2 linked regions of the Xenopus tropicalis genome follow. The protein of the gene in region 1 interacts with the protein of each later gene in a pairwise test. Links are inferred from orthologs where the notes say so. Each region holds a gene or a part of one and is shown on either strand. Other genes may lie near its edges.

Evidence for each region.
Region 2: the proteins of arrb2 (region 1) and agtr1 interact in a two-hybrid assay, tested with the Homo sapiens proteins (2 studies listed by BioGRID and IntAct, with this or other methods). The link is inferred for Xenopus tropicalis from reciprocal best matches to the Homo sapiens genes ARRB2 and AGTR1.

What each region holds. Positions count from the first base shown.
Region 1 is NC_030679.2:142,421,272-142,425,747, reverse strand, and holds the start of arrb2 (beta-arrestin-2), read left to right. Parts: upstream 1-1,486; 5' UTR 1,487-1,531; coding exon 1,532-1,554; intron 1,555-4,476. UniProt on the Homo sapiens protein: Functions in regulating agonist-mediated G-protein coupled receptor (GPCR) signaling by mediating both receptor desensitization and resensitization processes.
Region 2 is NC_030681.2:122,004,113-122,008,425, forward strand, and holds the start of agtr1 (type-1 angiotensin II receptor), read left to right. Parts: upstream 1-1,312; 5' UTR 1,313-1,347; intron 1,348-4,313. UniProt on the Homo sapiens protein: Receptor for angiotensin II, a vasoconstricting peptide, which acts as a key regulator of blood pressure and sodium retention by the kidney.

The sequences.
Region 1 (4,476 bases):
TATCTGTCTATCTATGTATCTATCTATCTATCTATCTATGTATGTATCTATGTATTTATCTATCTAGCTATGTATTTATCTATCTAGCTATGTATCTATCTATCTATGTATGTATCTATCTATGTATTTATCTATCTAGCTATGTATCTATCTATCTAGCTATGTATGTATCTATCTATCTGTCTATCTATGTATCTATCTATCTATGTATGTATCTATCTATGTATGTATCTATCTAGCTGTCTATCTATCTATCTATCTATCTATCTATGTATCTATCTATTTAGCTGTCTATCTATCTATCTATCTATCTATCTATCTATCTATCTATCTATCTATCTATCTATCTATCTATCTAGCTATGTATGTATCTATCTATTTAGCTGTCTATCTATCTATCTATCTATCTATCTATCTATCTATCTATCTATCTATATATCGATCTAGGGTTGGACTGGGCCAGAAAAAAAACTCAGTGGTCCCTGGCCCTCATGGGCCCCTACCAGCCCCCCACTGCCCTCCCCCAATTGCGGGGGAAGTATGAGGTAAGTGGGGGGAGGCGCTGGCGGTGAGTGGGCAGTTGGGGCCCCTGGAGTAACAGGAGACGGGGCAATGGGGATATTGGGAGCCCAATCTGAAATCCAGGCCTGTTTGAACCACTTGCCTTTCTTTCTGCCCCTTTGCCAAATTGCAATATAAAAATCAATCTTGTTGTTGGAAGGGACGGGGTCACTGACCCTGGCAACCAAAACACTGCCATTCTGTGAGGTCACAATTGTCAGACTTTTTTTATCACCATATTCCAGTACATCCCTCAAACCGCTGGCTTATAGGTAAATTGGCCCCTAGCAACCAGCTTGCTGCTAAAATGCAAAACAGCATTGAACAAAAAAAGCTTCATTCTTATAAAAAAGCGCAAAACATATCTCAGAATATTACTGTTACTTCATTCTAAACGTCCCTTTGAATAGCAATCTATCTGGAAGGTATCTGAGCCGGTTACGGAGCAGCTACCGTCTGTCAGTAATACGTTTTAATCCTTCGGACGATCGCTAATTCTATTACGCGTTACACACCTACAAGGCAGCCAATCAGCGCCCCCTATTAGAAGGCAGCCAATCAGCAACCCATGTTACAAGGCAGCCAATCAGCAACCCCTGTTACAAGGCAGCCAATCAGCAACCCCTGTTACAAGGCAGCCAATCAGCAACCCCTATTACAAGCCACTGCCACGCCCTCCCTCCACCGTCCTCCTGTTGTCCAATCAGTTGTACGGCCCGACCTCTAACTCATATACGTCACGCCGCCGGCCCCTCCTTCCACAAGTCAGAGAGGGGGCGTGTTCAGTACTTGGTGACCGCGTCCTACCTGACCGTCACAAGGCCGGAAATCGTCCAGCCAATGAAAACGCGCAGGAAATGGGAAGAAGCGCACGGCCACGCCCTTTCCTACTGTGCGTGTGGAACCGTGCGCGTCCCCGCGGTGGGGGATTGGAGCGCGTACACACAGAGCAAGCGGAGGAGCTTGGAACATGGGGGAGAGGGCGGGAACCCGGTGAGTATTTGACTCTGTGAGGGGGAACTTATATACTGCGCCTTTCCCTGTATGTCTCTGTGTGTATGTGTCGCCTTGCCATTCACCCTGCTCACTGTCTGCCTGCCTAGTAGCCTCTATATACTGTGTATGTTACCCACACACTGACTGGTATACGGGCACTGTATATACTGTGTGTATAGGTACTGTTACCCACACACTGACTGGTATACGGGCACTGTATATACTGTGTGTATAGGTACTGTTACCCACACACTGACTGGTATACGGGCACTGTATATACTGTGTGTATAGGTACTGTTACCCACACACTGACTGGTATACGGGCACTGTATATACTGTGTATCGGTACTGTTACCCACACACTGACTGGTATACGGGCACTGTATATACTGTGTGTATCGGTACTGTTACCCACACACTGACTGGTATACGGGCACTGTATATACTGTGTATCGGTACTGTTACCCACACACTGACTGGTATACGGGCACTGTATATACTGTGTGTATCGGTACTGTTACCCACACACTGACTGGTATACGGGCACTGTATATACTGTGTATAGGTACTGTTACCCACACACTGACTGGTATACGGGCACTGTATATACTGTGTATCGGTACTGTTACCCACACACTGACTGGTATACGGGCACTGTATATACTGTGTATAGGTACTGTTACCCACACACTGACTGGTATACGGGCACTGTATATACTGTGTGTATAGGTACTGTTACCCACACACTGACTGGTATACGGGCACTGTATATACTGTGTATCGGTACTGTTACCCACACACTGACTGGTATACGGGCACTGTATATACTGTGTGTATCGGTACTGTTACCCACACACTGACTGGTATACGGGCACTGTATATACTGTGTATCGGTACTGTTACCCACACACTGACTGGTATACGGGCACTGTATATACTGTGTGTATCGGTACTGTTACCCACACACTGACTGGTATACGGGCACTGTATATACTGTGTATAGGTACTGTTACCCACACACTGACTGGTATACGGGCACTGTATATACTGTGTATCGGTACTGTTACCCACACACTGACTGGTATACGGGCACTGTATATACTGTGTATAGGTACTGTTACCCACACACTGACTGGTATACGGGCACTGTATATACTGTGTATCGGTACTGTTACCCACACACTGACTGGTATACGGGCACTGTATATACTGTGTGTATCGGTACTGTTACCCACACACTGACTGGTATACGGGCACTGTATATACTGTGTATCGGTACTGTTACCCACACACTGACTGGTATACGGGCACTGTATATACTGTGTATAGGTACTGTTACCCACACACTGACTGGTATACGGGCACTGTATATACTGTGTGTATAGGTACTGTTACCCACACACTGACTGGTATACGGGCACTGTATATACTGTGTATCGGTACTGTTACCCACACACTGACTGGTATACGGGCACTGTATATACTGTGTATCGGTACTGTTACCCACACACTGACTGGTATACGGGCACTGTATATACTGTGTATCGGTACTGTTACCCACACACTGACTGGTATACGGGCACTGTATATACTGTGTGTATCGGTACTGTTACCCACACACTGACTGGTATACGGGCACTGTATATACTGTGTGTATCGGTACTGTTACCCACACACTGACTGGTATACGGGCACTGTATATACTGTGTGTATCGGTACTGTTACCCACACACTGACTGGTATACGGGCACTGTATATACTGTGTATAGGTACTGTTACCCACACACTGACTGGTATACGGGCACTGTATATACTGTGTGTATAGGTACTGTTACCCACACACTGACTGGTATACGGGCACTGTATATACTGTGTATAGGTACTTTTACCCACACACTGACTGGTATACGGGCACTGTATATACTGTGTGTATCGGTACTGTTACCCACACACTGACTGGTATACGGGCACTGTATATACTGTGTATCGGTACTGTTACCCACACACTGACTGGTATACGGGCACTGTATATACTGTGTATAGGTACTGTTACCCACACACTGACTGGTATACGGGCACTGTATATACTGTGTGTATAGGTACTGTTACCCACACGCTGACTGGTATACGGGCACTGTATATACTGTGTGTATAGGTACTGTTACCCACACGCTGACTGGTATACGGGCACTGTATATACTGTGTGTATAGGTACTGTTACCCACACGCTGACTGGTATACGGGCACTGTATATACTGTGTGTATAGGTACTGTTACCCACACGCTGACTGGTATACGGGCACTGTATATACTGTGTGTATAGGTACTGTTACCCACACGCTGACTGGTATACGGGCACTGTATATACTGTGTATAGGTACTGTTACCCACACACTGACTGGTATACGGGCACTGTATATACTGTGTATAGGTACTGTTACCCACACACTGACTGGTATACGGGCACTGTATATACTGTGTGTATCGGTACTGTTACCCACACACTGACTGGTATACGGGCACTGTATATACTGTGTGTATCGGTACTGTTACCCACACACTGACTGGTATACGGGCACTGTATATACTGTGTGTATCGGTACTGTTACCCACACACTGACTGGTATACGGGCACTGTATATACTGTGTGTATCTGTACTGTTACCCACACACTGACTGGTATACGGGCACTGTATATACTGTGTATAGGTACTGTTACCCACACACTGACTGGTATACGGGCACTGTATATACTGTGTGTATAGGTACTGTTACCCACACACTGACTGGTATACGGGCACTGTATATACTGTGTGTATAGGTACTGTTACCCACACACTGACTGGTATACGGGCACTGTATATACGGTGTATAGGTACTGTTACCCACACACTGACTGGTATACGGGCACTGTATATA
Region 2 (4,313 bases), on another chromosome or scaffold:
TGCAGTCACAGGAGAGAGTCTCCTTTCTCCCTCTGTTAAAATTACCTGTGCAGTACTCTGGCAAGGTCCTACCGCTGCTGTGACAAACTTAACGTACATTATCATATATCCACTGTTTTGATCCAGAGGAGGGAAAAAACCCCAACCTGAAGCTGGTGCCAATTATGCCTCACGAGGGAAAAAATTCCTTCCTGACTCCCATGGCGATGTGAAACATTCCCTGGATCAAGTGATCGTAATTAATGAAATAATACAATGCTGACTCTCAAATTTATACTGTATAAAGATACAGAAACCACACTATAACAATGCATTCAGGAAAACATCCACATTCTGTTATTAAAAGATAATATTAGAACATAAAGAAGAAAACTCCTGCCAATTTTGCAAAATATGCTAAATATGCAAAATGAAGGTGGGTGGGAGGTTTCTACCTGCTCAGAAGAAAAGGAACTGAGTGCTACTTCCTCTGACATCACATCCCTCTCTTCTCCACCCCCCAGGCCAGCTTTCTCCTGTTTTAATTCTTTTCTTCTCACCTAATCACAGTTGTACCTGATTCTTCTAAACATAAACCAGTGTAATCTGGCCACTGGTTATTCAGATCCCTTGTCATGCAGCCCCTGCGCTTTTATCTACAGGACTTTCCTTTCTAATGATCTTCATAGGTAGAAAAATCTACACTGAACCCTGCCTCAAGAAAGAGGAAAAAAAAAGAAAGACTGGTAAGTTTAATGTAAACAATCTGGTGTAACCAACTCTTACCTGTTGATTGTTCTGGATTCCATGTATCTCACCTAACAAATACACTTTGGGGGAGATTTTTTTTTTAATTTTAGATTAAAGTTTGCAAACTTGTAAACTCAAAAAATTATAGGTATTCGAGTTTTTTATTCAAACAAGTTTTCCTAATTAATAAATAAGCGAGCATTTGATATGCAAGTTTGTATTTGATTTAGAAAAAAAAACGAATTTGAATTCACAAACTTAAAAATTGATAAATAAGCCCATTTATGTGAGTGTTTCAAGCAGGCAACAATCAATAAGCCTTTCAGGTTTTAATTTTTTACCAAACACATTGAAGTCTATTTTTGTGATCTATATACACACAGAGTGTATTCCTCAAGGCTAATAAATCAGATGAGGAGGAGAGGCGTGCCCAGCAGTTGATTTGGAGGATAAAGCACAATGCTCCTTTCCATGTAAGTACAGCTGCTGGTCACTGAATGGAACTTACTGAACTCTACAGTACCGACTGCTGCTGCTGCTGCTCTGTCTGCTACATCTGCTGCATCATCTTACTGCAAATGATAAACCTATAGTGCAGGGGGAGGACAGCTTGTAGAGGTAAGGATTTGTTCTCACATCCATCTGTGAATTTTGTTTAAACATATCTTATGCTACACAGCTATCATCAAAATGTCATACAATAACTGAAATCTCTTACACGTTGTCTGGGTGTTTCCTAAAGCTATTAAAAAGTAAGTCATAATTTCTTTCCCACAGTTGTATTTCTGCCATAAAACTATATACAAGTTTTGAGGCGTGTAATTGTCTGAGCATAACCTTAACTCCTTCATTTTAGTGGGTTGTGTGCCAGTTTTTTTTTATAAGGAGAGGTGTGGATGAATAAAAGTAGTTATATAATTGTGGTGATGTTTGGATGTCTGTATCACCAAAATTGTCTTTATGACATGATTAGTAAGGGACATTTTTTAAATAGTTTAGTGATTGAATATGCAAAAACGCTGTGGCTAGAATACTGATATAAGTCCCACAATCTTTTTTACATGGCTTAGAAACCTGCTTACTGTGACTTTAGCTTGTGCTCTGAGTATAAACCAAATCTAGATCACAGAACCCCCAGACAGATTTTGGATTGTAGACTGGGATTTGTTCTGGGACGTTATTAATAACTTATTGGTCAGTGTCAATACAGAAAAATAATGTAAAAACAAAGACACCATATACAAAAAGAAGTTATCTGTTGGACAAATGTAAGCCATTAGTTCTCAAACTCTTTGGAAACCACTGCAACAAGGGGCTGATTTATTAAAGTTCAAATTGCCTTTGAGTTTTATTTTTCAAAAAGGTGATGTAAATAAAAAATTATGACTTCCATTGTGATTAAGACATGGCAATAAGATGCAGCACAACGTTTCAGAATTAGATTTGCCATACGTAGGAGGATTGTAATCTCTAAATTAGAAGATATCCTATCTCTTCCTTTTCTCTCAGATATGACAATTTATATGTTAACCATGGGTGATGGGAAGAACAACTCTTAGCTCTCTAAAGGGGTTATGTAATAAAAGGCACTACATTTGCCCAGGTGCAGTAACCCTTAGCAACCAATCAGCAGGTAGAATTTTACTAAGCAAACATCTTATCAGTTGCTATGGGTTACTGCTACTTGGTAAAATTAGTGCTTTTCATTACATTGCAAAGCTACAGTATGACTCCTGGCATCTGTCCCATTGGCAGAGATGGTGAGGGGGCATTGGCAGCAGTAACACTGCACCACAAAAGTGGTCTGTTCGCTTTTTTATATGTTTTTGCCATTATCTATAGAAAATAGCAAATAGCAGGGCGCATCCTAGTGTTTTTGGATATAAATTAATTAATTGTGATACAGTGTTAAGCAAAGGGGTTTGTAATTTCGGATTTGTACATGCGGTAAAGATTAAGGTTGAAAACTGATGTTAATTAAAATGCAATTTAATGGTTCCCCATGAGTCATTTACTGACTTTATTACCCCAGCATGTTCATTTGGCCCCATGAAAACGGATACTCCGTTGTTGTGTCAAATTCTGTAGGATAAGACAACATGTTCCAAACTGTCACTGACACTAATCAGACCTCAAGCACTTCATAGAACGTTTAATGGAAGAGCTCTGTTACTGTGCATAGCATTTATATCAGAGTGTGGGGTTATCATACAGCAGCAGCATTCCGTACAATGTGCAATCGGAACACACACTTTGGCAGCACATGCCTTGAGCTCTCAGCCAGAACAATGTGCAATTGGAACACACACTTTGGCAGCACATGCCTTGAGCTCTCAGCCAGAACAATGTGCAAAGTTACAGTTAATGTGGTTTGTGTCATGTTATTCTGTTTATTTTTGGCTTGTAAAAAAAGTCTCTGCCTTCTGTAATGTTTTCCCAAATGGCAGTGTGACATTTTTGGGGGATAAATGTTGGATTAATATTCAGCGCTTTATCCTTTCCCATTACACCACACATTTATTATTTCTTTACACTTTTTTCTTTAATAGTAAATCAGTACACTCTCCAACTGGAAGAAATCTCCATTATCCATGTAACTATCATATTTCCTTCATATTATCAACATACAGTATATAGTTATCATATATTTATACAGATATGGGACCATTTTATTGACAAGTGGTCTTTCCATAACTTGGATCTCCATACCTTGTCTACTAAAAAATAACCCTGATAGGATCGTTTTGCATCCAGTAAAGATTAATCAATAATTAGTTAATCATTAATTAATAAATTATTAATTAGTTGGGATCAAGTACAAGGTGCTGTTTTATTATTACAGAGAAAAGTAAAATCATTTGAATTTTAATAAAATAGAGTCTATGGGAATTACCCTTCTCTAATTCTTTGTGTAATGGGTTTACGGATTATGGATCCTATACCTGTACTAATCTATTTATCAACTTGCAAATATGTGTATAAAATTTGGGTCAACCAACTCCCCATCAGTTAAAGATTATGGGATAAGATAATCAGCCTATGAGCAGGAACCTCTACCTCTTACATGGACCAGTATTTGTGAATAGTATGTATGTTTAATGTAAACACCCTTATATTGTACAGCACTACAGAATATGTTGGTTATGTTGCTTTATAATAAATATAATTATGGGGGGGGGGGTAATATAAAAACATGTGCACAGCTTTCCTCTAGTTTTAATAACCCATAAAATATGTTTGCTTTGGAACAGCAGACCAGTAAATGCTACTTGCTTATTGGTTGCTATTGTTATTTGACCTGGAAGAAACTATATTTGTTGTTACATTACCCCATATCTATATTGCTCATGCACCTAGTACATAAATATAACAAATACTATGACTCACAAATACTATATAGATTTGTGAGTCATGTAACACAAATAACATCACAAGCACCAATTCTAACTGGTGACATCACTAAGCACTGTTAAAGTATAATTTAATAATAATATAATAGTAAAAATTAATACAAAAAATAATAATAAATAAATAAATAAAATGAATTTGTTTCTATACTGGAAAAATGAAAGCACATTTTACTT